Mus musculus: one gene and its partners. The protein of the gene in region 7 purifies or fractionates together with the protein of the main gene of each other region. This does not show direct contact. Links are inferred from orthologs where the notes say so. Each region holds a gene or a part of one and is shown on either strand. Other genes may lie near its edges.

Region 1 (3,500 bases), on a different chromosome or scaffold from region 7:
AGATAGAGACATTTCCTTTCGTGGTGTAGTCGCTTAACAGGTACCCTGATTCCTGCAAATAACTTTAACCATACCCCTGTATGCAACTGTAATCAAAGTCACTAGCCTACTGTACTTTATAATCATGTTTTTAAAAACCTCTTTACCGAATATAGTTTTTTAAAATAAGTTAGAAAAATTCAGTTTTTGCCGAGAGCTCTGAATCACGCTAGCTTAGGCAGAAGTGTGTACCTTGAGGTGAAAGTGCAAAACAATAATCATCTCGCCATCACAGGGCTGGAACAGCGCATGCTTGATATTATTGTACAGAATATCCACCTTGTCTCCTCGAACAGATGTGAATCGGAAACCTGTGGCAAACAACAGGGTCACCAAGTGTTAAGCAGTGTCATCTTAGGCTTGAACAAGGTCAGAGAGACACCATTTATCAAGTCCCCATGTGTTCTGGTCATCTTGTCCCCTGCTTCCTTCCATCACTGTAGCATGTTCTACTCTGGGAAGCTACAGTCCAGCACAGGAGAGGGCGTCCGTACATACCATTGACATGAGCCTCCAGTGAGCCCTGCATTCTCTTCTGGGCAATGTTTGGACGAATGTACAGGTCTTTCAGTTTTGGATTACTCCGGTTTAGGTTGATCACCAGCGAGTCTTGTTTTACAATGCCCTAAGGGTCACAAAACAGTGTGTGCATGGAGCCTTCATACCAACTTCCAAAGACCTGTCTGTACAAAGGTGCCTAGTTGTGTTCAGACTCACCTCTTTTTCTTTCTCTTCAGCTTCTCTGGTCTTGTAACGTTTTTGTACTTCTTTTATAATTCGGAACGCATTCTGAAGATTTAAGGCGGGTACAGTCTGCTCTCCAGGTGCTTTCATATTTGAAGCTCGGTATGTACTGTAGAAGAACATTTGTATAGATGTTTATCAGGCTAGGAAACCCAAACCCATCATTACAGTTTTTAAGTGGCTTAATTTCTCTATTGTGTGTATGTGCCATGTGTTTGTGTAGAGGCCAGAAGTCAACATTGAATGTTTTTCTTAGTAACTTTTGCCCTGTTTTAGGAGACGCTCTCTCTCAGATCTATCTAGATGGACTGGTTAGCAAATTCCAAGGGTCCTCTCCCTGTCTCTACCTCCCCAATGCTGGGACTACAAATGTAATCTACTGCACCTATATTTATGTATTTTAATGTGGGTCTTGGAGCCCTGAACTTCAGTCCTCAAGCTTATATGATAAGCACTTTACCAATTTTTTCCAAGTCTATCTTTTAAAAGACATCATATGTAGTGCAAACGGGCTTTGACCTTGCTATGTTCAAAGGCTGGCCTTAAACTCCCAATCCTCCTGTTTCACCTCCTAAGGGCTACCATGCCCAGATGGCTTAACATGTTTTTAAAAGAAAAACCACCACTAAATATGGGAATGGTAGGAAATCAGAAAAAAATATATTTTTCTTTTAAGTGGAAAATATCAATAGCTAATTCCCTGGAGTAGGGAAACTACACTTTTATTTTTTCAAATTTTATACAGTATCTCCCAATATTCTATACCACTCCATGATGGAAGAGAATTCAATGCAACATAACATTTTCTTTCTTCTTTTTTTGTTTCTATTTTGAGATAGTTCTCGCTATAGTTCAGGGTTGCCTGGAATTAATTTTGTAGACCAGGATGCATTGAATTTGTAAACTTTTTGCCTCAGTCTCTTAAATGTGAACTTCAAGCTATGCTGTGTGTTGCCACAGTTGGCCCACAGATGTTTTGTTTTTTTTTTGCCTGAGGATTCAATTGCAAAATGTGTAGTGTGATATAAAATAGCCATATGAGAAATATAAATTAGGATCCATACTTAAAACATTACAAAGTCAGCAATGTAATCCTAAACAAATGCCACCAAGGAAGGCTTTGCAGTGGGTTCTTGTGAAAGGATGTAGCAGGGAATGGACATGTGAGGTCATTGCACCACTAGCACAGGTTGGAGACGTTTGTTTCCCAGGGACTCACATTTCCTTGACAAAAGTGGCTTCAGGGTTAGGAAAGATGTTGCCCTCATTCCTGCCCAGAGCACTGCCTGGACAATAGAAGTTGATTCGCAAGTAAGTATAGTCTCCTTCGACAGACATACTTATGTTCTGTTCAAAGAAAGAGAGGAAAGTTAGCTTTGTTACTAGATTATAAAGATGCTAAAATGAAGTTAGCAGTTAGGAGTATGAGGGACTAAGAACAAAGCTCAGTGGCAAAGCATTTATCTAGAGTGGGCAAGGGCCTGGTTCAATTCCTAGCTGCAGAAGAAAAAGGCCAGAGTTTGCTGTTCCTTCAGCTGAACCTATAAAACTGAACCAAAATCGAGATAGAAATATTCAGCAGTGTTTTTCACATAATTAAGAAAGTGTTTCCAAAAAAAAAAAAAAAAAATCACCTAGCTATAAAAGTATCTTGTGACAGGAATACAATTTAGGATTAAATAATAGTTACAAATTCAAGGAAAGACACACACATGATAGGGGCTTGAGAGATGGCTCAGATGGCAAAGTGTTTGCTGCACAAACACAAGGAACCAAGTTTGGGGCCCTAACACCCACATAAAATCCAAGTGAGGTGTGCATGTCTATAATCCTAGGGTTAATGGTGGGCAGAGACAGGGATTTCCAGAGCTTGGTGGCCAGCCACTCTAGCTAATCATTGGGCTCAAGTGTCAATAAAAGATCCTGCCTCAAAAAACAGGGTTGCAAGAGAGAGAGAGAGAGAGAGAGAGAGAGAGAGAGAGAGCGCACACAAGCTATCTATGAACTTAAGACACCAGACACTGACATATGGCACATGCATCTTATACCCCCAGGGACACACACACACACACACACACACACACACACACAAATACACTCAAACATATACAGCACAAAACAACAACAATAACCCCCCACCCCCCAACTGGTAAATGGATTCCTTTTCTGGTCTAATTTAGCTTCCTACAAAGTGAAAACTGAAAGGGAAGGAAAACAACAGTGGGAGATAAAGGAGAAAGCAGACAATCAGCACACTGGAGTGTGAAAGGTCAAGGTAAGAGAAGATCAGAGAATTAGGCAGACACACTAGAACCTTGGATACTTGAATACTGGTACCTTGATTGTGGCAATATGGAAGGGTGTGGCAATGCCAAACACAGGCATTATCACAGTCTCATATTTCTTATCAATATAGATCTTCATCTCCCGAATATGTGGTTCCTTAGGCATCAGAGATGGGTTTTTATAGGACACATTAGATTTTCGAGCTCTGGAGTGGGGTTAAAAATAAAGCAAAAAGACAATTGAGAAATCCCTACGGTCACATCATCTCTAGACTATCACCTTGCTCAGTGTGGACTCCTACTTCTGAATCTGCTGTTCCCCTTTCTGCTCTGTCAGCCTCCTCTTCGCTTCCTCGTTGAGCTGTGCTGCCAGTTCCTTCTGATGTGCTCTTCGCTTCTCTTCTGCAGTCATCTCATTCTAGCAAAGTGAGA
Region 2 (4,273 bases), on a different chromosome or scaffold from region 7:
TGTAATCATACAAGACTAATGAAGAGTCACAAAATAGTTACTGCTTTCCTTCCAAAACACTTCAGTGTAGACAGAGAAAACAGGATCTTTAATTCCTGTCTAGAGATGAACAAGCCAACTAAATCTTTTCCATGAGTCTCAGGATCTCAAAATGTCTTCCTCTATTTCTTCAATGGATACTCAGTGAACCTTTAACATTTAAGGTGACAGGATGAAAAGGACAGCCCCCTCTGTCTGCTGTGACTGCATTAATACAAGGTGTTCCAGTCCCAATAGCAGCACATGGCTCACTTCGAAGCAGTGGATGTTGTAAAGCAATGTCTGGTTATCAAATTTCTTTTAATGACTTATCATTGAAAGCATGGTAATCAGCCCAAAGTGTCAACCACCCCACAGGTTGTCACACTGTAGACTCACAGAAGATTCAAGTCCCTAAGTATTCACTGTGACTACCTACGCTGGCCCAGCAGAGGTGTAAGAAATTCCTTAGAGTACATTGGTCTCTACTCAACACTGAGAAAATATGGAAAGAATGAATTAGAATAAGGAAACAATCTGTATTTACTGTTAACAATTGCCCTATATTTTCTCTCCTTAAATTAGAAAATGGTTCTTTCTCACCTCTTTTCCCATCCTGCAATGCAACTGTAGACACTGTATTTTTGGGTCTAATAGAAGTTTAGATACCAGCTTCACAAATACCAACATTATAAGATTCAATGATTATTTTCTTCAGGAAAAAAAAAAAAACAAACAGTGGCACCCTCACTACTAGGTACACATTAGTAATACAACCCTGTACCCCTCAGCCCCATTGCACCCCACAGCTAGAGTCCAGATACTCTAGCCCTTTCCCAAAACACAGTGTGTGCATGGGACGTAGCACAATCTCACACACACTTCACTCTCTGCCTTACTTATAATACCTAAAACAACGCGTGTATCATGTATGCTTACTTTCCATATAGATACAATGTGGGTATTTCCAATTCACCATTAACTCCATGAATACAGAATCCAAAGACACAGAGGGTGACTATATTGTTACAGTCACTCCACTTTTTTTTTCTATTTTTAATAGCAAATCTCTGAAAAAGCCCAAGATCTGACAGGCATAAGAGATAGGCTTTCCTTGCTTTCTGATTTCTCGGTGGTTGATGCATGCACACTCTCCATCCATGAGCAAACTGCACTGACTTTCAAGCCCTGCAAATCTGATACCTGCAAAATTCTGTTCTGCTCACACGATGCTTCCTGTTCAAAAGTCACCAGGTGGGTAGGGAGACGAATGTCCATATTTAAGGTATTCCTAGCCAATTCAAAGGTAACACAACAGGCTCTGTCTAATGGAACGCTCTTAAAGTGCCTCTCCACATATATCATATATCATTTCAAAAATGAATATAGGCATCAGGAAAACAGCAAACACTGAACTTCTAAAGCTCAGGATAGGCCCCAGGGAACTGGGGTAATTCCTCTTAAATACGTTGTCAGTGGTTAAGAAAAAATATACAATGATGTCACCCTAAGAGCGAGACTGTCATAGAGAAGCTGAGGAGCACTACCCCATCTAGTTTGCAACCAATTCAATTCAGCCGGTTTCAACAGACTGGTCCAAATCACTGCCTCAAGTATTTCCACACAAAAGCCAGAAAGACATTTTCCCTTTTCTGACTTCATGTCAGAAAGCATGTGTTCACTGCTTTCTACCGTGGCAGGATGGAGAGGTGGAGGGTGTTTTAACAAATTACTGGCATTATTTTCAACTTCAGTTTTTACAGAATAAGCCATAGGAAAATAAATGTTTGCCTTCACATAGCCCCACGTGACAAGGACAGCCGAGCACAATCTGCCCCTATCCTACTGCCTTACAACTTAAGATCTTATGGATTAACGTCGACTAAATTCTCTACAGACACAGATGACAGATCCAACCTTCAGCCCTCGGGTTTTCTTCTACAAAAAAAGCACTGCATTCGGTGGAGGGGGGGTGTCATTTTGTGGCCTAGCGCCTGCCTGGAGACTGCACGAGGCCCTGGGTTGCGTTCCCAGTTTTGCCAAATTCAGATTTATATTTCAGTAATTTAATTATATCGTAAGTGAATTATAGTAAAATGAAGGCCACTACACACTGAGTTTGTGTTTTTAAAAAAATGAATAAATAAACCAGCCTGCACGGCCCACAACCATCACCGGGTGGGTGGAGGAGACCAAGTCCTCCTTTTTCGAAAGCCAATCAAGAGGAACACAATGGGTTCGGTGAGCTCTAACACTTTGGAAGCCACCACCGCACACGCGGCCCTCACCGGGGCTCGGAACCGGGCCGGGAGGGGAAAGGACCGATGATGTCATCCCTGGGTCCTCCCCGAGGATGAGGCTAGCCTCGGGCCTTTTAAAGGGGACCGTTTTTCCGCGCGCCCGAGGCCGGGGCCGCCAGCACCGCACCTGCTCCCGCCCCGGGGCCGCCCGCGCCTCCCGCCCTGCCCGGCCGCCCTCCCGCCCGGCCGCCCGGGGGAGACAATACATTTTAACGCCGTTGGCGCTGCTGCGCGGCGGTTTCTCGGGCTCGCCGGGGTGCGTGTCTCGCCGCGGCTCAGCCGGTTGCTGCTGCGAGCCGTCGTCACCCGCGGCCGCCTCGGACTTGTCGGCATCGGCCATCCCGCCGCGGGCTCCGCCTCGGCCGCGATGAGGGCTCCGAGCGCTACAATGGCGGCGGCCGGAGAAGCGGTAACGGATCGCGATTTGAAAAGGCCCCGAGCGCTCGGCGGCCGGGATCTCGCGAGAGCGGACGAGGCCCCGCGACTTGGGGAGTGAGTGGGGGCGGGGCTCCGGCGCGGCCACCTGCGGAGGGAGCGCGGGCTGCCTGGGGGGGCAGAGATGGGGGTCCTCGGGGACGGGGCCTTTGGATGAGAGGACTATGGCAGCTCCATCTCTGCGGGTGGATGCTCTACGAACCCGCCAGCGAGCACCGGTAGCTGAGGACAAGTTGACCACTTTCTTTGAGGGCTGAAGATTTTTGTAGACCTTAGCAATCAGCTAAGAGGTCGAAGTTTTTACATTCTCGGGGCAGCTATCGATTTGGACAGTCCATCATTTTCTTAAGAAAACCTGTACAAGGGGGCTGGAGGAGTTCAGCAGTTAGGATGACTTGCTGCTCTTGCCAAGGACCTGGGTTCGGTTCCCAGCACCCACATACAGGAGCTCCAACGACCTCTTCTGACTCCATAGGCGCTGGTATGTCTGTGGTGCACAGATATACATGCAGGCAAACCACACGCACACATGGAAAAAACAAATTGTTTTAAAAGAAGTCTTATACAAGACTAGCTACAAATGCATATTTTGGTTTGGATTATAGATTTTACCCCTAAATACTAAAGATTCATAAACCTGAGTGTCATGATTACACTTCACACTAAAATGGCCTTTTTCAGTTGAAAAAAAAAGCTAAGACCTCCTCAAATGTTTCCTTCTTTAAAAAAAAAGTGAACAGCATAAGGCAGACACAGTTTATTAGAGATGAGAGTCATCTACAAAATTCTGAGTTTGGCGTTCTACCCACATAGTGTCCTAAACACAACAGATACTTTTGTGTTTCTGTACTGTCACCCCTGGGGCCTAATGGTTGCAGTTAGCAGACAGGTGCTGGAATCTGGCAGAGAAAATTAGGCTTTCTCCTCGGCTGAGGCATTTCAGTTCTCCACTTCTCTTCAGGTAAAGACAGCAGTTCCTTCCCTGCAAGGTAGAGATTTAAAGAAAACACTTCATCTAGGGCCAAGTGCTACAGTATCGCAGTCTATCTCTTAAGGCTCCCATGGGGTTTCAATCAAGGAGAAACCAGATTAACCCACCCCACCCCACCTCAACCCTAGATTTCAAAGTATTCACTATTCCATGTATTCTTTTGTTACCATTGAATTTCTCCAAGGAACTCCATCTGACAGTCCTGGACTAGTAGATTCCTGCAAAAACCTTTTTCACATTTCAACACTTTTCAAGAGTTCATCGTGACCAAACCATAATAGAAGGTTCGGAAGGGACACTAGAGCTCTGCTGGAGGAGGACTTTGGGAAACAGCACTATTCAAGAGCTGTAATCGAGCTAAAAGCACAATTTAATTAAACACACACATGAGACTTACCCATACTCCAGAGTATGCCAATTTAAATATCCCATTAAAAGAGCTATTCTTAATGACTGAGCTTTGGGGGGCAGTGTCTTGGAATTTCCAACCCCAATAAGCCTATCTTAAAAAAAAAAAAAAAAACCACGT
Region 3 (3,994 bases), on a different chromosome or scaffold from region 7:
TTACCGGGGAGGGAAACAGTCTACATTTTCACTGAGCGGCTGGCAAACAACTCTATCTTAGGCCATTAAAATCTACTGGGACAAGTATGTTAGAGTTAACCTATAGCCCCGGCACATGAGCGGCAGCCGGGACTAATACCCAGTGAGACCTTTTTTTTTCCCCATAGTTATAAGGTACACTGTCCCAGTCTTCACACATACCAGAAGGAGGCATCAGATCCCATGACAGATGGTTGTGAGTCACCATGTAGTTGCTGGGAATTGAACTCAGGACCTCTGTAAGAGCATTCTTAACTGCTGAGCCATCTCTCCAGCCCCACAGTGAATCTCGTAAAAAATAAAACCAACCGACTCTCTCTTCTCATAAAAAAATAAAATAAACAAAATAAACCTACTGGAGCACATGTCACATGCCCCCAACACTGTATTCATATGCACACCTACACATAGGCACATACTTAAAATAATAAAAATAAAAGCAAATCTTTAGGCGGGTGTAGTAGTGCATAATGTTAATTCCAGCACCAAGAGACAGAGGCAGGAAGATCTCTGTAAGTCAGACTGTTCACAGTGAGTTCTAGAATAGCCAAGGCTACACAGTGAGCCCTGTCTAAACAAAACAAAAACAAAACCTTAAATAAAATCCTCTCCTTCAATACACAATCAACTCACAAACTTAAGACAAAGAACAGACACATATACACCAATCCGTCACCATCGGCCAGTGGTCCCTTACCCAGAATGCTTGGGGCTACTAGTGTTGTGGATTTCAGATGTTTTTCTTCCGGATTAATACTTGCACATACACAATGATGTATCTGGGTACTGAGAATCAAGTGTAAACAGACACAAAGCTGACTCGTACCCCATATCCCTTGTTTTATCATTGTGTGTGTACACCAAGTGTATGTGTGGGTGCTTGTGTCACGTCAAGAGGCTGGAGGTCTGGGGATGCGTCTCCAGTCAGTTTTCTCCTTCCACCTTTTTGAGGGTTCTGAGGTTCGAACACAAGTTGTCAAGCTGGCTCTGCCAGCGCTTTACCTACTGGGTCATCTGGCTGGCCCTAGCTCGATGGTCATTTTATTCAACAGTTTTAGCATATACTGTGTTCTGTCTGAGGCCCAGCAGAGGAAGTCAGGTGTGGGTCTTTTTTTCATGAGTGCACTACAAGTTTTGGATTTGGGAGTTTGGGGTTGGGAGTGATGGGCCTGCCACAGGTTCCTTCGGGTACCACTGCTTACTTTTCTTCTTGTGCTTTCTGTAACTTACAATACACTCAGTTTGTAACCAGGATAAAACAAGCCTCTTAGGTAACTTTTAAGTAACATATAAGTAATTATTTGTTCTATCACAAACTAAAACACAGAATATTTAGCAGTTATTGTATAAAACCATGACAGAAAAGTGTGCTTGAAACAGCAAAATGTACTTCGGATGATTTTCCCCCCCTGTTGCAGACACAACTTGTCTTTAAGTTAAAACTACCAGAATCGCCGGGCGTGGTGGCGCACACCTTTAATCCCAGCACTCGGGAGGCAGAGGCAGGTGGAGTTCTGAGTTCAAGGCCAGCCTGGTCTACAGAGTGAGTTCCAGGACAGCCAGAGCAACACAGAGAAACCCTGTCTCAAAAAAAAACAAAACAAAACAAAACAAAAACCCTACCAGAATCTGTCTGCAACCTTATTTGCAATAATTAAACTACAAAACAGTGTGTGTGTGTTGGGGAGGGGGTGTGTGTGTCACAACCCAGGGACCCTACTAGCAAGTGGGGCCGTACTGAGTTCCATGTATAACACACTGGCACTCTGATAACACTGAAGACTGCTGGGGGCTCTGTGCCTCTTAGCTCCAAACACCTCCTTTCTTCTGGCGCTGGGAAAACGTACACCTCCTAAGCAGCCTGGTCTAAGCCTCAACACACAGCACTAATCCAGGGCGGCGATCCATAGAAACACCTGCTGACCCAGGGTTTCGCGGCTTCCGCTAGGGAAGGCTCGGGCCGCAGCTTCTCCCCGGGCGGGCGGGCGGACGGGCGGGCCTCCCTAGCGTTGGCCCCGGTGGCTGCTGGAGGAGGAACCCAGCCAGGTGCTCGCAGGCCCTCGCCGCCGCTCACCTGGTACAGCTCCTCCAGGTTGTACCTGATGGATGTGCTGCTCTGGATGGCCTTGACCGCTTCGTGAAGCTTCCGCCACGTGTCCTGAGTGTAGTTGTCAGGCAGCCGCGGCCTGTCTGTGGGGGAGAGAGGGTCAACGGCCGCGCGGGGACAGCACAGGCCGGGGCACCGAGGCAGGGCCCGGCCGGGCTAGCCAGGAGGTGCGGGATCGGGGCCAGCTGGGGCGCGGGGACGTGGCGGAGCGTGAGGTGCAGGGACAAGTCGGGTTGCGGCGCCGAGACGGGACAGTGCGGGAACCAGGCGGGCCGGGGCGCGGGGACAGGGCCTGCCGGGCAGCCCCAGGAGGCCCTGTCCGAGCGCGCGACCCGCCGGCCGCCCCGTTCGCTCCTCACCGGAGCGCACCCACCTCGGAAGTTCTTGATGACCAGCTTCCTGGAGCCTCCCGTGCCCCCCGGCTTGGCGGGGCCACCGGCCAACGCCGCGGGCTTGGTGAGGCCGTTGGTGCGGCCCATGAGAGCCGAGACGCTGCCCTTCCGAGGGCCCTCGTCCGCCATGGCTGGGCCGGACGCCGCCCCGCCCCGCGCCGCCCGGCTCCTCCTCCTGCCCTGCGCCCGCTCCGTGCGCGCCCGGCTCCTCCTCCTGCTGCTGTCGGGCTCCGCCCGTGAGCGCTCGGCTCCTCCTCTTTCTGCTCGCGGCCGGGTCCGCGCGCCCGAGGCCCAACCGCCGCGGCGCGCACCGGAACGATCCGGCTCCTCCTCCTATGCGCGAACTCCGCCCAAGGAGGGCTCGGGGACTCGCAGGCGTTCTACAACGAATGCTCGCGAGAGGGCGCCGTGACACCTGCACCGAGGGCTCCGGAGCTCGCCGCCCCACGTCACGTCGAGGGCCGTGACGAGGACACCCCGGCGAGGACTTGAGTGGATAAAAGCACCCGGCAACCTTGCCTCCTGGATCACCTTACACCTAGGATGCTCAGGGATGCTGCTCCGTGCGCTAGCGCGCCGAGGGGTTGGGGACGGGATGCTCTGCACCCATTTATCTGGGGTGCCCCAGTGTGAGATGTGGGAGGACTCAGGAACACATCCTAGGAGTGCGCGGGACGCCTTCCCAGTGGGCTCTGGACTTTGGTTCCGGGAGAGTCAGGAGCGCCTCTGCACACGGAGGGTTGGGGATCGGGTCACCCTCATGGGAGAGGGGTGCGAGGAATCGGGTCGCTAGCACACCGACGTGACCAGGGACACGTTCCCAAGTCGGTTGGGAACTCCTCCACGTCAGTCCTCCGCCCTCGCGCGCGCCCCCGCCGCACCCGAGGCGTCCCGGCGACCGCGCTGACAGCTGCCCCCAAAGAAGTGCTCTCACCACCGGCTCGGCTCGGCTCGGCTCGGCTCGCTCCACCTTCACCCGCTCCGGAACCAACGTGCAGAGGTTACCGTGTGGGGACAAGGAGCGGAAACGGACCTGCGCCGGAAGTGAGGCACTCAACACCCGCGGCCGCCGCTATGGCGCACATCACCATTAACCAGTACCTACAGCAGGTGGGTTTCGCTTGGTATCCTGGCCTACGGGCCACGAGGGGTGAGTCCTGGGGCCGGGTCGGACGGTGCCGGGGGTCCTGCGGCTGGCCTCGAGGCGAGGAGGGTGTGCTGCACGCGGTGGGCAGCCTGCCTTGTTCGGAAGTTGCAGGTGCTGCCCGGTGGACCAGGAGGAGGAGGATCCGAGGTGGAGGTAGCAAGATCGGGGCCACTTGTAGAAACGGTTGTCTGTGTAGTCAGCGCTGCTGTCCGCACGAAGCACGTTGTGTCTCTTGGCAGCGGTGCCCATCAAGGCTTTACTTAAAGCCTGGGAGTGGCACAGGCAAACACTGTTGCATCCGGGTGGAGG
Region 4 (3,500 bases), on a different chromosome or scaffold from region 7:
AATCCGCTGCCAAGCTGCAGTTTCGGTACGGTGGTTCTAACTGCACAGAAGTTCATGAGATACGCAGACTTTAGCGTTGATTAATTGTGTGATTGTTTTTATTTCACAGTTGTCCTTTTCATGCTAAAATTTAAAAATTACTTCATGCCAAGGACTGTTTTGATCTTAAGTACACATATGTCTGGTGCTTACATGAGCAGAAGAGGGCACGTGAACAATGGAGCCCCCCAGAGCTGGAGTTACAGACACTGTGGGCTGCCATGTGGGCCTGGCAAGTGGACTCAGATCCTCTGGATGAGCAACCAGTGTTCCTAACCACAGAACCATCTCAATAGACCCTAACTTTGTTTTGTTTTTTTGAGCCAGGGTTTCTCTGTGTAGCCCTGCCTGTGCTAGAACTCACTCTATACACTAGGCTGGTCTCCAAAGAGCCTTGTCCGCCCCTAGCTCCTGAGGAGTGGACTATGGGAGTGTGCTATCCCCTCTATGTTCCCTGCAGCTTTGCATTTTTAAAATGTAGATGTGGACTGGGTGTGGCAGCACACATCTTTAATCCCAGCAAATAGAGGGGGCAGAGAGGCAGCTAGATCTCTGTGAGTTCAAGGCCAACCAGGTCTATATAGTGAGTTCTACGTCATCCAGAGCTACCTAGTGAGACCCTGTCTCAACCCACTGACTCCCCAACACACCAAACCAAACCAATCAAGCAGGGGATCATCAGGTAAACATGATAGCTGTTTAGAGGTGGCTGGCTTCCAATCAGGTGGCTTCATAAATCCCTGTAACTCCAACACATCTAGATCTAACCTACAGGGAGGTTAAGACCCCAACCCCCACCTGCGTCACTATTCTGCTTGTAGAATTGTAGTACCAAACATTCTTGCTGCTCTGAGTAAAGTCTAGGAAGAGAGGGGCAGCTAGCTGCCTACAGTATTCATCATCAGTGCATATGCGTCAGAGGCCAAGTCTCACAGAGGAGTGTATACTACAGAGCCCAATGGGAGTGACATACTGAGGCAATGGAAGCCTTTGTGGGTACCAGCACCATAACATGCTAAAACCTTGTCATTCTCTTTCATTTATTCTTCTAGCACCCTGTGTTTCCTGACAGGATTTCTCTGTGAAGTTCTGGCTGTCCCTGAACCTGCTCTATTGACTAGGCTAGGCTGGCTTTGAACTCAAGAGATCCACCTGCCTCTGCCTACTGAGTACTGAACTAAAGGGACATGCCACCACTCCCTGGCTCTCAATTTTCCTTGTATCATTCAGCAAAGGGGATAAGATACAAAATTGAAAGGGCAAAAGATAAAAACCTTAGATTTGGATTCTGTCTTGGGTGTTCCATCTGCCTTGTTGTTCATTTTTGTGGCGGGAGTTAACTTAACATCCCCAAGGCCCATCATCTCTGGGCTGGCTGCCATCCCTGTAAAAAGATACCAGTTCAGGTCCAGTAGATTTTACTACCGCTTGAAGATCTTTCTTGAAGAAACTCCTGTGATGAGCACTCAATTACACTGACCTGCTGAATTGTTGGCCATGGTTCCACCCATAGGATATGGGGGTCCCTGAGGGTTGATCATGCCAGCCATACTATTGATCCCCTGTCCATAGGGAGGTCCAGTTCCCATCATGCCCCCTTGATTCATATTTGGGTAGCCTGGTGGCCTAAGGAAGAAGATGAACATTAAAGAGAAGGTTAGAGACACAGTGAACCTCTACATTTGGGAATGAGGAGGAAAAAAAAAAAGTAGAATTAATTGTCTAATAAGAATAGAAAAAGTTTTAAGTCTCACAAATCTAACCGAGGCCACACATCTATTTGCCACAAAGGTTCAAGGAAGGCCTGAACTCTGTAAAGCAAGCACTAGCTTAGTCTGATGGGGAATAACCCTTGAAGAATAAGGTCTTATGATGTTTTATAAACACCACTTTCCCATAGGCAACACCTAAAGTTGCTATGTTTCTACTTAAAGGATCGCTTTATGGCAGAGCCTATAAGCCTCCAGTAGTCGCTTTCCCATTACTCTTTCCTGCCCAGACTCCTAAGTAGCCTACAGGCACAAAGTACCACACCTAGCTTAAGTTCTGTACACAGGATACTTCGTCATATCAATTTTTATTAGCACCCTGAAGAACCAGCACATTTGTGCATGTGTTTAAACTGTGTGTTAAAAAGAAAACACAGTGCTTAGAAGAACTTTCAATAACATACAAGTTCCGTTGCATGCATGCGCTTGTACACCAGAACCCTCTCTTCACTCCCAGGCCTTACCTGTTTTGGATAGAGTTGGCAGCAACATGCATGGCAACAGCAGACTCTTGAGTTTTCCTGTTCATTCCCCCTGGTGGAGGACACATCCCTGACCCAACCTGAGGTGGCATATTGGCCATATTAGGGCCATAGGGCCTGTTGCCCATAGACGCATGAGCCATTCTCCCTGGAGGGAGTGTGCCGTAAGGTGGGATTCCAGGCTGCCCATGCATCTGACCTCCAGCACCCATAGGGTTCATACTTCCGGCCATGCCTGCATTGGGGTAGTTGGCGTTGGGCAAGGCATTATAGTTAGGCTGCCTAGGATAGCCTCCTGGGGAGAGGTGGGGAGGAAACAACACAAGCCTTGGTTAGCAAGTCCCAGAACTACAATTCTTAAAACTCCAAACAATTAGAATCCATCAATATCTGGGTCATGAAAATGAACAAATCCATCATTAAGGGAGGAAAACATCTCTAGCCCCATCCCCAGTTTGGGGTGGGGTTTGCTGAGCACTGAATCCCAGGGCTTTGTTCATTACTGAGCCACAATCCCTGACTGCCCAGCACAGAGAATGATGGCAGAGTTACTATCTAGGCCTTTCAGCATTCAATAGAATTCTTTCCTTTCTACGTATTTTCCCTGCCTCCCACCGAAAATTTTCTTAATTTGTGTGTTATGTGCATGCATGCATGATCAAGGCACATCCAGTCATGGCACAGCGCCTGTATCTAATAAGCACCTGTGCTGGCCCATCAATGGCCCATACAAGGTGACAGAATGGAGTGAAGACACGATGAACCATTCGTTGCCCCACTCCTCCCTAGGGCCTCGGCTGGGGAGATGTAAGGAAGGATGCCCTACTCTTTTAACCCAGCCGTTAACACAGTACCTCTCTTTCCTTCTAAAGGGGTAGCACACTTACCTTGTGGGCCATACTGACTGCCCTGGGGGCCGTAGCTCCCCATGGAGTTCTGCTGGTAGGAGCCCACGCCCGAGTGCATCTGTCCTCCAGACGGCTGACGTGGGGATAAGGCCGAGCCAGGCTGAGGGGAAGTGTACTGGGGCATCTGGGGGTTCCTCTGCATATAACCTATGTGTGGAATGTATCCAAATAATTATCTGCTCAGTATAATGGGAATAAACGGCTTCCCCACTCCGCTGAACGCCTCTGGCATGGGATCTGCTACTGTCCTCTGCCTATTTAGATTCCTTGAAAGTGACAAGACATGGGGCACATATTAACTT
Region 5 (3,500 bases), about 54 Mb from region 7:
GATACAGATATTTTCATATAATGACCATGTCTTCTTTAAGCAGCATTGTTCACCATGCAGAGTACCTTCAAAAACACCTCCTTCCTTTCTCCTTTTTGGTGGTGGTGGGATTTCATTTTGTTTTTTTTTTGAGACAGGGTTTCTCTGTGTAGCCCTGGCTGTCCTGGAACTCACTTTGTAGACCAAGCTGGCCTCAGAAATCTGCCTACCTCTGCCTCCCAAGTGTTGGGATTAAAGGCATGCGCCACCACTGCCCAGCTTTGTTTTTTTTGTTTTTTTTTTTAGATTTATTTATTATAATTAAGTACACTGTAGCTGTCTTCAGACACTCCAGAAGAGGGCATCAGATCTCATTACAGGTGGTTGTGAGCCACCATGTGGTTGCTGGGATTTGAACTTCGGACCTTCGGAAGAGCAGTCGGGTGCTCTTACCCACTGAGCCATCTCACCAGCCCCCTTTTTTTTTTTTTTAAAGACTGTTTTTTTGTGTAGCCCTAGCTGTTCTGGGACTTATTCTGTAACAGAGACCAGGCCAGCCTCAGAGATCCTCCTGCCTCCTGAGAGCTGGGATTACAGATTTATGTCTCTATGCCCTGACCATCCATTCCTTTTCATTGTTAATTCACCCATCACTGCCTCCTCTTCCCCATCCCTCAACTCTTAGTCCACACTTAAACCTTTAACTCCCCATATTCCATCCTTTTACACCATGTGTTCCGTTATGTGCTCCCTCATTACGGACTCTCTTTTCCGCTGTTTTAATCAGGGTCTCTTTAGATTCTTTTTTTTTTTTAATTAGGTATTTTCCTCATTTACATTTCCAATGCTTTCCCAAAAGTCCCTCATACCCTCTCCCCTCCCTTTAGATTCTTAAGGGGCAGATTGAAGCAGGGTATTTCTATGTGTACTCCTGACTGGTCAACCAGGTCGACCTCAAATCTGTAGGGATCATGCTGCCTCTGACTCTGGAGTGCTAAGATTTAAAGATGTGTTCTACCATGCTTAGATCTTTGTTGGGGTGTGTGGGATATGTGTGGATGTGGGTGTGCATGGGTGGGTGGGTGTACCCGCATATGTGGGTATGAGTGCAAGTATCTGAGAAAACCAGAAATGTGACTCCGCTGGAGCTAGAGTTAACACAATGTACACAGGTCCTCTAGAAGAACAGCTAGTGCTCTTAATTGTTTAGTTATATCCCCATCCCCCACCTTTAGATTTATTTTTATGAATTCTAAAACGTGGCGTTTAGGTGCAGGTTGTATTGAATCCAGGACTTTATGTGTGTGTTAGCCAAGCACTGTACCACCAAGTTGCACCTCCAGTCGCAGAAGTTGTTGTTTTGAGACGTGGGCAGGTTGACCTGGAACTTAGTATATAGCACTGAAGATAGCCTTGAACTTTTCATCCTCCCAAGTGCTAGAATCATAGGCATTTACCACACTTGAATTTTGCAGTGCTTTGGGGTTGAACCTGGGACTGTTTTTCTCAAAACTGGGATCCATATTTCTCAGGCTAAAACTCCTGACTCTCTTGTATCCCTGGCTACTTTTTTTTTTTAAAATCAGGCAGTAATTGCCTATCTAGAACACTTATCTTAAAGACTTATTTATTTATTTATTTATTTTCTATGAGTGCACTGTAATTGTCTTCAGACACACAAGGAGAGGGCATTAGATACCATTACAAATAGTTGTGAGCCACTATGTGGTTGCTGGGAATTTAACTCAGGACCTCTAGAATAGCAGTTAGTGCTCTTAACTGCTGAGCCATCTCTCCAGCCCCCTAGAACACTTACCTTAGATGATGCTTTTGGAAGCTGTTGCCTCTTCCCTAAAATCTGTTTGGCCATGTAAAATGTTTTAGGAATTTTAGCAGTATTTGAAAGTTTAGCAAGATGTCTTGTCACTTTAACCACCTCATTCTGCCTCTTGGCGTGTTCTTGGCATGCTCTTATGCTCTTTGAGGCTTACATGAGTGACTGTGTTAAATGTTTTATGTTCACTGTTTTCTGGCTTTCTTTTTCCAGTACTCCTGTTGATGTCAATAACCGTGAGATGATGTTGAGCATCATCAATAGCTCTATTACTACAAAAGTCATCAGTCGGTGGTCCTCCTTGGCATGCAACATTGCACTGGATGCTGTTAAGACTGTGCAGTTTGAAGAGAATGGCAGAAAGGAAATTGACATCAAAAAATATGCAAGGGTAGAAAAGGTAAGCTTGTCCAGTATGTGCTTGAGAGTTAGGTGTCTGGCATGGTCATTCCTATTCAGAGTAGGGTGTCCTTATTTACTTAGAACTAGACAGAAGAACTGGACTACCTTAGAGCCTGGAAACAATAACCTAAGAGTATCAAGGAGAATTCCTGATACCATTTTTGGTTGCCTTTACTACCTTCCATACACAAGGTTTACAAGGGTAAGGAAAGACACTGATGTGTCCATATCTATGCCTGTGGGTACTAGCCACTGGTGAGTATATCAGTTTTATAAGTGCTGAGGTTGGTGAAATGGCCTAGCGGCTAAGAGTGCCTACTGTTCATGTAGAGGGCCCACATTTGATTACCAGCACCCTTGTGGTGTCTTACAGCCATCCATAACTCCAGTTCCAGAAAACCTGATTCCCTCTTTTGACCTCTGAGGTCACCAGGTACACATGTATTACACATACATGTAGGCAAACCACCTTGTTGGTCAGGGTTCTCTAGAGAACAGAACTGGTGAATATTAAAGAGAGCCTTTATTAGAGTGACTATTCCAACAGTGGCTGTCACCTGACAGAAAAGTGAGATTCTGGTAGGGGCTGAAGATATGGCTCAGTGGTTAAGAGCACTGACTACTCTTCTAGAGGTTCTGAGTTCAAATCCCAGCAACCACATAGTGACTCAACCATCTATAATGGGATCCAATGCCCTATTCTGGTGTGTCTGAATAGAGCCACAGTGTACTCATATTTTATTTGTTTTTTAAAGACTCTGGTACTCCTCCTGTACTCTAGGCTGGTTGTCTGACCTGGTCTTCAATCTACTTGGAATCCCAAAGAAGTAGATGCTAATGCCTCATCAGCAAAACAGTTTTTGCAAAAAATGAGTTTGCCAGAGAATGAGAGCAGGCAAACAGCAAGTGTCCTTGTCCTGTGTCCTTTTATATGGGCTGCCACCAGAAGGTGTGGCCCAGACTTAAAGTGCGCTCCTTTCTGACCTCATGATCCCATCAAGAAAAATCTTTCACAGGTCTGCTAGTTGCTTGGGTTTTAGTGAATTCCAGGTGTCAGTTGACAACCAAGATTGGCCATTACATACTCATTATAATAAAATTTGCTTGGGCAGTGGTGTCACACACCTTTAATCCCAGCACACCAGGCAGAAACAGAAAGGTCTCTGTGAGGTGGTTTTTTGTTTTTTGGGTTTTTTTTTTTTGAGACAGGGTTTCTGTGTAGCCCAGGCTGTCCTGGAACTTACTTTGTAGACCAGGCTGGCCTCGAACTCAAATCCGCCTGCCT
Region 6 (3,500 bases), on a different chromosome or scaffold from region 7:
GGAAGGGCTGTGGTCTTGAACCTGCCATCCTAAGAAGGGAGGCGGAAAGCCTGACTTCCTGTAAGAGCTGGGGCTCGATGGGGCACCAACCTAATTTCTGTTCTTTTCTCCCCAGTGTCTGTCCCTAGTCGTACTCCAGCTGCAGCTCCAGCCTCTACCCCAGCACAGAGAGCCGTCCCAGGGAAGCCCCGGGGAGAAGGCACAGAGCCTAGGGGGGCTCGCACTGGACCCCAAGAGCTTGGCAAGATCCTGCAAGGGGTGGTGGTGGTGCTCAGTGGCTTCCAGAACCCCTTCCGCTCAGAGCTCCGGGACAAGGCCCTGGAACTGGGGGCCAAGTATCGGCCAGACTGGACCCCAGACAGCACACATCTCATGTAGGCCTCTGACCTGCCACACGGTTCCCTGCCCTGCCCTGCCCTACCCTGCATGCCCCCGCTAGCTTCATCTGTCCCTGTTCTGCTATCCTCCCTCCCTGCTTCTTTGTGCCCTCCAGCCCCCACTTCTTTACCCCCTTAGTTCTCAGCTTTCTGCGTCCCTCCCTAAGCTCCATCTCTGTTCTGTCTCAGCTGTCCATCAGATCATGTCTGACATTCCTGTTTTGCATCTCCCAGCTGTGCCTTTGCCAACACTCCCAAATACAGCCAGGTCCTGGGCCTTGGAGGCCGGATTGTGCGTAAAGAGTGGGTGCTGGACTGTCACCACATGCGGCGCCGGCTGCCCTCCCGGAGGTGAGGCCCCACGACCTGCCTCTTAGGCAGCGCACACACCTGCCTCTTAGCCCAGAGCAGGCAATGAAGAGCCTGGGGCCTGCTGGGTAGCTCAGGCGATCTCAAACCAACATAAGCCGTTTTCAAAGACGGGCTGGGCCTGCAGATGGGAAGTCACTAGCCTGGGTGGGCCACTGGATTTTGTAATGACGGCTGCTTTGTGCACATTGTGGGTTGTGGCTGTGCAGAGGTGGAAGGGAGCCTCAGGGCTGTATGCCATTCCTCAGAACTGATCCTTTGGCATCCTTTGGGTGCCAGGCAGAGCTGTGACTGAAGTGAGGACGCTGGGGTTGAGCCCTGTGCTCACTTCAGCGAGTGGGTCAGAAGTGTTAGAGCCCAGCTTTGAGGAGCTCAGGAGGGGCACAGTGATCGCGGGATGAGAAGCATGGGTAGCAGCCAGGCAGAGGGCATGCAGGGCTGCAGAGCAAGCAGGGATGGGCAGCATGAGCATCCATCTCCTGACGCAGTGGGCGGGAGAAGAACCACTGGCTGCCAACAGCAGGAGCTGTGGAGCTGGAGAGAAGCCGACTCCGATCCCAGTGAGGTCGTGGCTTGAGTCTGTTTAATAAGCAGGGCTAACCCTGGCACATTCATGTCGGGGACTGTGAGGGGAGGTGGGTGGGTTGGTCAGTTGATCTGGAAGTGGTGGGGACTCCACATCCTGCTTGGATTCCACAGATCCCTGGGAGCTAGTTATCTAGCTTCAGTATTGTGATCATCCTGAACAGATGTGCGGAGGGTGTCTGTGGGCGCCTTTATTCTCTGAGGTGTGTAAGGATAGTTAGCTAGTGTGCCACAGTAGGGACTTGAATCTAGGACACACACACACACAGTACCAAGAATCAAAAATCTTAGGATGGTTGAAAATGAAGAGATGGCTCAGTGGTTAAGAGCATTGGTTGTTCTTTTAGAAGACCTTGACTCAGTTTCCAGCACTCACATAGCAACTCTCAACCATCTGTAACTGCAGTCTCAGAGTGATTGATGACTTCTGGCTGTTATAGGCACCAAGCACACACATATGATGCATAGACATATGTGCAGGCAAAGCATTCATACGTGTAAAATAAAAAAGTTAGTCTTTAAATATATACAAGTTGCTTATATAAAATGCTAGAGTATTTACATAAAAACTGCATAGAATCTTTTCATACATTTAAAAAAGATTATTATTTAAATTATGTGTATGTGTATCTGTGCGGTGGTGCACATGTGTGTTCAGGTACGTGAGGAGACCAGTTGTGTCAAATCCCCTATAGCTAGAGTTACAGGCAGTTGTGAGCACCTGATGTGGGTCCTGGGGAACCAGATTTGGATCCTTTGAACAGTATAAGCTCTAAACATTGAGCCGTCTCTCCAGCCTCACGTACTGTGAGTGTGGATGTCTAAGAACTGAACCCAAGGCTTCCCACATGCTAAGCCACACCCCCAGCCCCTCACTGGGGGTTCTAGTCAGGGCTCTACCACCGTGCTGTATATCCCTAGCCTTTTTGGTTTTGATTTGGAGTGTAGGAGGGTCTTACTAAGTTGTTCAGTCTGGACTTCAATTCACTCTGTTCCCAGGCCATCCTGCCTCTCAGCCTCTTGAGTAGTTGAGATTAGAGACCTGCTCACTAGGCCAGTGTGCTCTTACATGTTTTTGGGTTTTTTGTTTTTTGTTTTTGTTTGTTTTGTTTTTCGAGACAGGGTTTCTCTGTATAGCCCTGGTTGTCCTGGAACTCACTCTGTAGACTAGGCTGGCCTCGAACTCAGAAATCCGCCTGCCTCTGCCTCCCGAGTGCTGGGATTAAAGGTGTGCACCACCGCCCGGCGCTCTTCCATGTTTTGAATCATTCTGTGGTTTGAATCCAGCACTATGTAAATGCCATGTAAATCTTTAGGGAATGACGAGCAAACGGAGTCTGAATGTTGAGTGCAGACACAGACTTTCTGGTCTGTGATTGGTTGGGTGTACAGATGCAGAGACCCCAGATGTGGGGTTCCACCTGAATTTGCATTTGAGACTTTCCCCCATTGCTTGGCATTCTCCTTTGATCCTCAAAGAGTAGACCCCCCCCCCCCATTGCTCTTTCTTGCCTTAAATGGAACAGATCTTCCCCATGAGGGAAAGAGCCTGGGGTGGCTGAACTGCCTGGCACGTAGTGGAGCCCCTCTAGGGCTGGGAGGGGTCAGAGGGCAGCAGGATTCCTTCTCTATCCCCACCTCCCTCTACTTCTCAGTCCTCTGCCTGAGGCCCAGTTCCTCCCCTAGGTACCTCATGGCAGGCCTTGGATCCAGCAGTGAGGACGAAGGGGACTCTCACAGTGAGAGCGGCGAAGACGAAGCTCCCAAGCTTCCCCAAAAGGTCTGATGCCCCTATGGGGCCAGGAGGGAATACTGGGTGCCAACCAGGTCTGCTGAATACCTCAGCTTCCTGCTTCTCCCCGCTGCTGGCTGTCCAGAGCCTCACACTGCCCCAACCTCACCTAGCCCTTCTTCCTCAGCGGCCCCAGCCCAAAGCCAAGACCCAGGCAGCAGGACCCAGCTCACCCCCGAGGCCACCAACCCCAAAAGAGACCAAAGCACCGTCACCAGGACCCCAGGACAATAGTGACACTGAGGGGGAAGAGTCAGGTTAGAATCTGAGGGAGAGGTCTACACGCTTTATGTCTGAGGGAGGAGGAGGGCTAGGGCCTTGAGCCCTGGGTTTGGGGGCAGGGCTGGTGTCTAGCTTTCTGGGTCTGAGGGGGAGGG
Region 7 (4,134 bases):
GTATCTCATCTGCTAAGCTACACGAAAATTTTCAGAATTGACTCGTTCTGGCAACAAGTGCTAAAGCGAGCTTAAGCCCACATCGCGCTTATTCACGCTGCTCAGGGAAGGAGGGGGGTGAACTTACAATATATGCTTCTAGTTTCTATTCTAGAAATGTCAACGCATTTCAGTTCCCCGTTATTAATCATTCGGCCATTTTTTTCTTCTGCAGTTAAAGCTAACAGACATTGCTGGTAACATCAAGATCTTGGTGGCTGAACAGTTATCCAGTTCCCCAAGAAGTTATGTATAAGCATGCTAGCCACAAAGAAATGAAAGACTCAGGCATAATTTCAGTGTCCATATTTCAAAAATTTATTTATCTCAAACTGTGCATAATGGAGTAAAAACTTAAGTTGAAAATGTAGCTGTTATAAGGATGGTATTAGTTCAAATATATACATGGATTCTCGGCAGCCTGATTCCAATAACAGAGCCGAATCTTTTAAAATACAACTACGGAAAATAAAAGGGGGGAAAAACCTTAAAATATCACAATTTACAGAAATATTACAAACCATAAGAAAATATTTCAAACACAGTAATTCCATATTTTTTATGTGAACAAAATGAAAGGGTAGGATTGAACAAAAGCTATTATAAATTACCAACGATATCAACCTGCATGGACATTTTTTTTTTGCCTTTAACAGTAAGTTAAAAATTTAGTACAATCTAGAACGTTTGCCTTAAACAAGACCACGAAAACGGTCTTGCCAGTACTTGCTCTCATGTTTTCCTTTTGTACAATTTTAAAACTAAAATGTTCAAATCCGAATAAACTCCTTCCTTGTTTGTAACGGTCCTAAATTTAAGCTGCAGAATCAAAACCCAGCAAGAACCCTTTCCTCGAAAAATATTGGCAAATTCTCAGCTTATAAACAATGGACATTTGATTGCCATGTTTATCTCGATAAATACTGTACAAAAGTTGCTTGCAAATATTAAAACTTTTTTTTCATCGCCCGGAGTCTAGCTCTAAATATTACTGGTAAAGACTTTTGCGAACTCCCTGCGAAGCGCCTAACGTACCACTAGAACTTTAAAAAAAAGTTTTGCGTAGTTTTTTTCCTCCAGATCTATACATGGTCCGATTCCCCCGCCCTCCCCGCCGCCCTCAGGTTTTCTCTGTACAAAAATAGTCCCCCAAAAAGAAGTCCCAAGATCTCTCATAAAAGTTTTCTAGTCGGCATCACGGTTTTTGCGTTAATTTGGATGGGATTGGTGGTTTTTTTCCGCAGCTGTCGTTTCGCTGCGGAGATTTTTTTTCCTTTTGAGCATTATCAGATTTTTCCTACTCTCCTCTTTTTGCACCCCTCCCAATTCCCTTGTATCTCTTTGAAAATCTCTCCCCTTCTCCAGTTCGCAGTCCAGCCCTCACATGTGCGACAGGGGCAGTGTGCCGTTAATGGCCGTGCCGGGCACCGGGCCGCTCTGGTAGTGCTGGGCCATGTGCAGTCTACTGGGCGCAGCGGGCTCCGGCACCTCGGCGCCGGGGAGGTACATGCTGATCATGTCCCGGAGGTCCCCGGCCTGGCAGGGCGCCCTGGAGTGGGAGGAAGAGGTAACCACGGGGGGGCTGGAGCTGGCCTCGGACTTGACCACAGAGCCCATGGAGCCCAGCGCCATACCGGGGGTGCCCTGCTGCGAGTAGGACATGCTGTAGGTGGGCGAGCCGTTCATGTAGGTCTGCGAGCTGGTCATGGAGTTGTACTGCAGGGCGCTGACGTCGTAGCGGTGCATCGGTTGCATCTGTGCCGCGCCGTGAGCGTTGAGGCCCGGGTGCTGCGGGTAGCCCAGCTGCTCCTGCATCATGCTGTAGCTGCCGTTGCTCCAGCCGTTCATGTGCGCGTAGCTGTCCATGCGCTGGTTCACGCCCGCACCCAGGCCGGCGCCCACCCCAACCCCGCTCGCCATGCTGTTCCCGCCGGGGGCCAGCAAGCCTCCGGGAAGCGTGTACTTATCCTTCTTCATGAGCGTCTTGGTTTTCCGCCGCGGCCGGTATTTATAATCCGGGTGCTCCTTCATGTGCAGAGCGCGCAGCCGCTTGGCCTCGTCGATGAACGGCCGCTTCTCGGTCTCGGACAAAAGTTTCCACTCCGCGCCCAGGCGCTTGCTGATCTCCGAGTTGTGCATCTTGGGGTTCTCCTGGGCCATCTTACGCCGCTGCCCCCGGGACCATACCATGAAGGCGTTCATGGGCCTCTTGACGCGGTCCGGGCTGTTCTTCTGGTTGCCGCCGGTCGCCGCCGCCGTGGCGTTGCCTCCTCCGCCGCCGCCCCCCGAAGCTTGCTGCGGGCCCGGCGGCTTCAGCTCCGTCTCCATCATGTTATACATGCGGGCGCTGGGCGGGCGCGGCCCGCCGGCGGCCGCCAACCCTCGGCCCGGCCGGGACTGTGGGGGCCGCGCTCGGGGGCCGGGATGCAGGGGCCGCGGGCGGGGGCCTCGGCGTGCACGGCCCTGCGCGGAGATCTGGCGGAGAATAGTTGGGGGGAAGCGGAGCTCGAGACGGGCGAAGTGCAATTGGGATGAAAAAACAGGCGCTCTCCTCCTCGGGCCGCCGCGATTGTTGTGATTAGTTTTTGGAAAGGCTTAAGCCTCGGGCTCCAAACTTCTCTCCTTTCTTTCTCTCTCCTCTTCTTTCTCCCAGCCCTAGTCTTAAAGAGGCAGCAAAGTACTTTTCCCTTTTTGCAAACACTCTCTTCTCTGCCTTGACAACTCCTGATACTTTTTTGAACAAGTTAATAGACAACCATCCATGTGATGGGGGCTGTCAGGGAATAAATGGGTTTCCGGCGGCCAATCAGCGAGCGCCGGCTCCTGCGCCCGAGCCCAGCCTCGCCAGAGGGTTTTGCATGAAAGGGGGCGGGGCCTGCCGCGCCGCCGAGCCGAGCCCAGCAGAGCGCTGTGCCCCGAACCGCGCGGGGGAGGCGGGCCCGCAGCCGGCCGCTGGGGAACCTTTGTATCCCCCCCCCCCGCCCCCCGTTTTCAGCAACAGGTCACGGCGCACGCCTGTTCGAAGGAAGTGGGTAAACAGCACCAAGACGACAGCTCCTTTCCCCCATGCTACGGAATATTGGCTCTCTCTTGGATACATAAGGGTGGATGGGGCGCGGGAAGCTGGGGCCAGGGTGGGGCAAGGCCCATGGGTGGTTCAGGGCGACTGTCCAACTAGTATTTCAGGAAGCTGGCAGAGCCGGAGGTGGTGTGCCATTGTTTCTGCGCTCATCCGCGGCACTGCGCTCTGTCGCAGCCCCTCTTCCAACCTTGTCGCCAGCACCCACTCACCCCCTCTTCTCACCGTACAGACGAGAAGTTAGACCCAAGCCTCGGGCCTCAGCGCCCTCCTGGCTTCCGTGTCATCGGCTCGGTTCCCAAACACGAGTCCTCTGCCCATGTAGCTGACTGTAGAGCAGAGCTAGGACCAGGCCTTGTTCCCAGCCTTTTCCTAGGCCGACTCAGGTGTGGCTCAAGGAACCGCAGCACGTGTCCTCAACCCCTAATTCCCTACTCCACCAACCTGCCCCATCCAAAGGGTGCAAAGGCAAAGCTGGAACTCTGCTCCCGCTCTTTCTAACTCCCAACCCTGACACAAGAGGATTTTTAGTGGTGGCAGTTTCAGAGGAAACCTTGGGGACGAAAGCATCAACGGAAAGAAGCTCCCGAGTGCAGGGGATGGGGGGAGGGTCACGCAACTTCCTGGCATCCCACCGCGAGGCGCGGAGGTGGCATTTGGGCTGCGCTCACAAACTCCCTCCCACGCAGCGTTCTCAGGATGGGGCAGCGCAGCCGGCATTGCCCCTGCTGACAGGCACGGTGGTAGTCACGAAGGCCCGGCCGAGAGGCGCCGGGGCCTGGGAAGCGCGCGGGGTCCAGAGGTGCAGGTGCAGGCGGAGAGAAGGCCCGCCGAACCCGAGGAGCCGGCACCAAGCAAGCCCAGGCTGTGGGAGAATGGGCTGGGGGCGGGGGTAGGGGTTCAAGAATCTTGCCTGCCCAGGACCCGAGAGGGTAATTTTAGCCGATCTCCCATTGTCCAGACGTAAAGATTTCAATCGGCAGGCGCTCAAAAAGCCCAGAGCCACAGCCCCACGT

Evidence for each region.
Region 1: the proteins of Sox2 (region 7) and Supt16 purify together in Homo sapiens (affinity purification with mass spectrometry; 3 studies listed by BioGRID and IntAct, with this or other methods). This does not show direct contact. The link is inferred for Mus musculus from reciprocal best matches to the Homo sapiens genes SOX2 and SUPT16H.
Region 2: the proteins of Sox2 (region 7) and Myef2 purify together in Homo sapiens (affinity purification with mass spectrometry; 3 studies listed by BioGRID and IntAct, with this or other methods). This does not show direct contact. The link is inferred for Mus musculus from reciprocal best matches to the Homo sapiens genes SOX2 and MYEF2.
Region 3: the proteins of Sox2 (region 7) and Cul4a purify together in Homo sapiens (affinity purification with western blotting; 3 studies listed by BioGRID, with this or other methods). This does not show direct contact. The link is inferred for Mus musculus from reciprocal best matches to the Homo sapiens genes SOX2 and CUL4A.
Region 4: the proteins of Sox2 (region 7) and Arid1a purify together in Homo sapiens (affinity purification with mass spectrometry; 3 studies listed by BioGRID and IntAct, with this or other methods). This does not show direct contact. The link is inferred for Mus musculus from reciprocal best matches to the Homo sapiens genes SOX2 and ARID1A.
Region 5: the proteins of Sox2 (region 7) and Cct3 purify together in Homo sapiens (affinity purification with mass spectrometry; 3 studies listed by BioGRID and IntAct, with this or other methods). This does not show direct contact. The link is inferred for Mus musculus from reciprocal best matches to the Homo sapiens genes SOX2 and CCT3.
Region 6: the proteins of Sox2 (region 7) and Xrcc1 purify together in Homo sapiens (affinity purification with mass spectrometry; 3 studies listed by BioGRID and IntAct, with this or other methods). This does not show direct contact. The link is inferred for Mus musculus from reciprocal best matches to the Homo sapiens genes SOX2 and XRCC1.

The regions. Positions count from the first base shown.
Region 1 is NC_000080.6:52,173,240-52,176,739, forward strand, and holds part of Supt16 (FACT complex subunit SPT16), read right to left. Parts: intron 3,487-3,500; coding exon 3,371-3,486; intron 3,275-3,370; coding exon 3,121-3,274; intron 2,131-3,120; coding exon 2,003-2,130; intron 893-2,002; coding exon 757-892; intron 665-756; coding exon 538-664; intron 351-537; coding exon 232-350; intron 1-231. UniProt on the Homo sapiens protein: Component of the FACT complex, a general chromatin factor that acts to reorganize nucleosomes. The FACT complex is involved in multiple processes that require DNA as a template such as mRNA elongation, DNA replication and DNA repair.
Region 2 is NC_000068.7:125,120,861-125,125,133, forward strand, and holds the start of Myef2 (myelin expression factor 2), read right to left. Parts: upstream 2,801-4,273; 5' UTR 2,659-2,800; coding exon 2,525-2,658; intron 1-2,524. UniProt on the Homo sapiens protein: Transcriptional repressor of the myelin basic protein gene (MBP). Binds to the proximal MB1 element 5'-TTGTCC-3' of the MBP promoter. Its binding to MB1 and function are inhibited by PURA.
Region 3 is NC_000074.6:13,104,429-13,108,422, reverse strand, and holds the start of Cul4a (cullin-4A), read right to left. Parts: upstream 2,801-3,994; 5' UTR 2,668-2,800; coding exon 2,520-2,667; intron 2,230-2,519; coding exon 2,114-2,229; intron 1-2,113. Other genes in the region: Pcid2 (PCI domain-containing protein 2), read left to right, coding at 3,613-3,648. UniProt on the Homo sapiens protein: Core component of multiple cullin-RING-based E3 ubiquitin-protein ligase complexes which mediate the ubiquitination of target proteins. As a scaffold protein may contribute to catalysis through positioning of the substrate and the ubiquitin-conjugating enzyme.
Region 4 is NC_000070.6:133,691,486-133,694,985, forward strand, and holds part of Arid1a (AT-rich interactive domain-containing protein 1A), read right to left. Parts: intron 3,346-3,500; coding exon 3,178-3,345; intron 2,586-3,177; coding exon 2,273-2,585; intron 1,666-2,272; coding exon 1,520-1,665; intron 1,424-1,519; coding exon 1,314-1,423; intron 1-1,313. UniProt on the Homo sapiens protein: Involved in transcriptional activation and repression of select genes by chromatin remodeling (alteration of DNA-nucleosome topology).
Region 5 is NC_000069.6:88,307,135-88,310,634, forward strand, and holds part of Cct3 (T-complex protein 1 subunit gamma), read left to right. Parts: intron 1-2,026; coding exon 2,027-2,213; intron 2,214-3,500. UniProt on the Homo sapiens protein: Component of the chaperonin-containing T-complex (TRiC), a molecular chaperone complex that assists the folding of actin, tubulin and other proteins upon ATP hydrolysis.
Region 6 is NC_000073.6:24,567,199-24,570,698, forward strand, and holds part of Xrcc1 (DNA repair protein XRCC1), read left to right. Parts: intron 1-115; coding exon 116-374; intron 375-611; coding exon 612-728; intron 729-3,017; coding exon 3,018-3,111; intron 3,112-3,250; coding exon 3,251-3,380; intron 3,381-3,500. UniProt on the Homo sapiens protein: Scaffold protein involved in DNA single-strand break repair by mediating the assembly of DNA break repair protein complexes. Negatively regulates ADP-ribosyltransferase activity of PARP1 during base-excision repair in order to prevent excessive PARP1 activity.
Region 7 is NC_000069.6:34,648,661-34,652,794, reverse strand, and holds Sox2 (transcription factor SOX-2), read right to left. Parts: upstream 2,801-4,134; 5' UTR 2,380-2,800; coding exon 1,420-2,379; 3' UTR 334-1,419; downstream 1-333. UniProt on the Homo sapiens protein: Transcription factor that forms a trimeric complex with OCT4 on DNA and controls the expression of a number of genes involved in embryonic development such as YES1, FGF4, UTF1 and ZFP206. Binds to the proximal enhancer region of NANOG.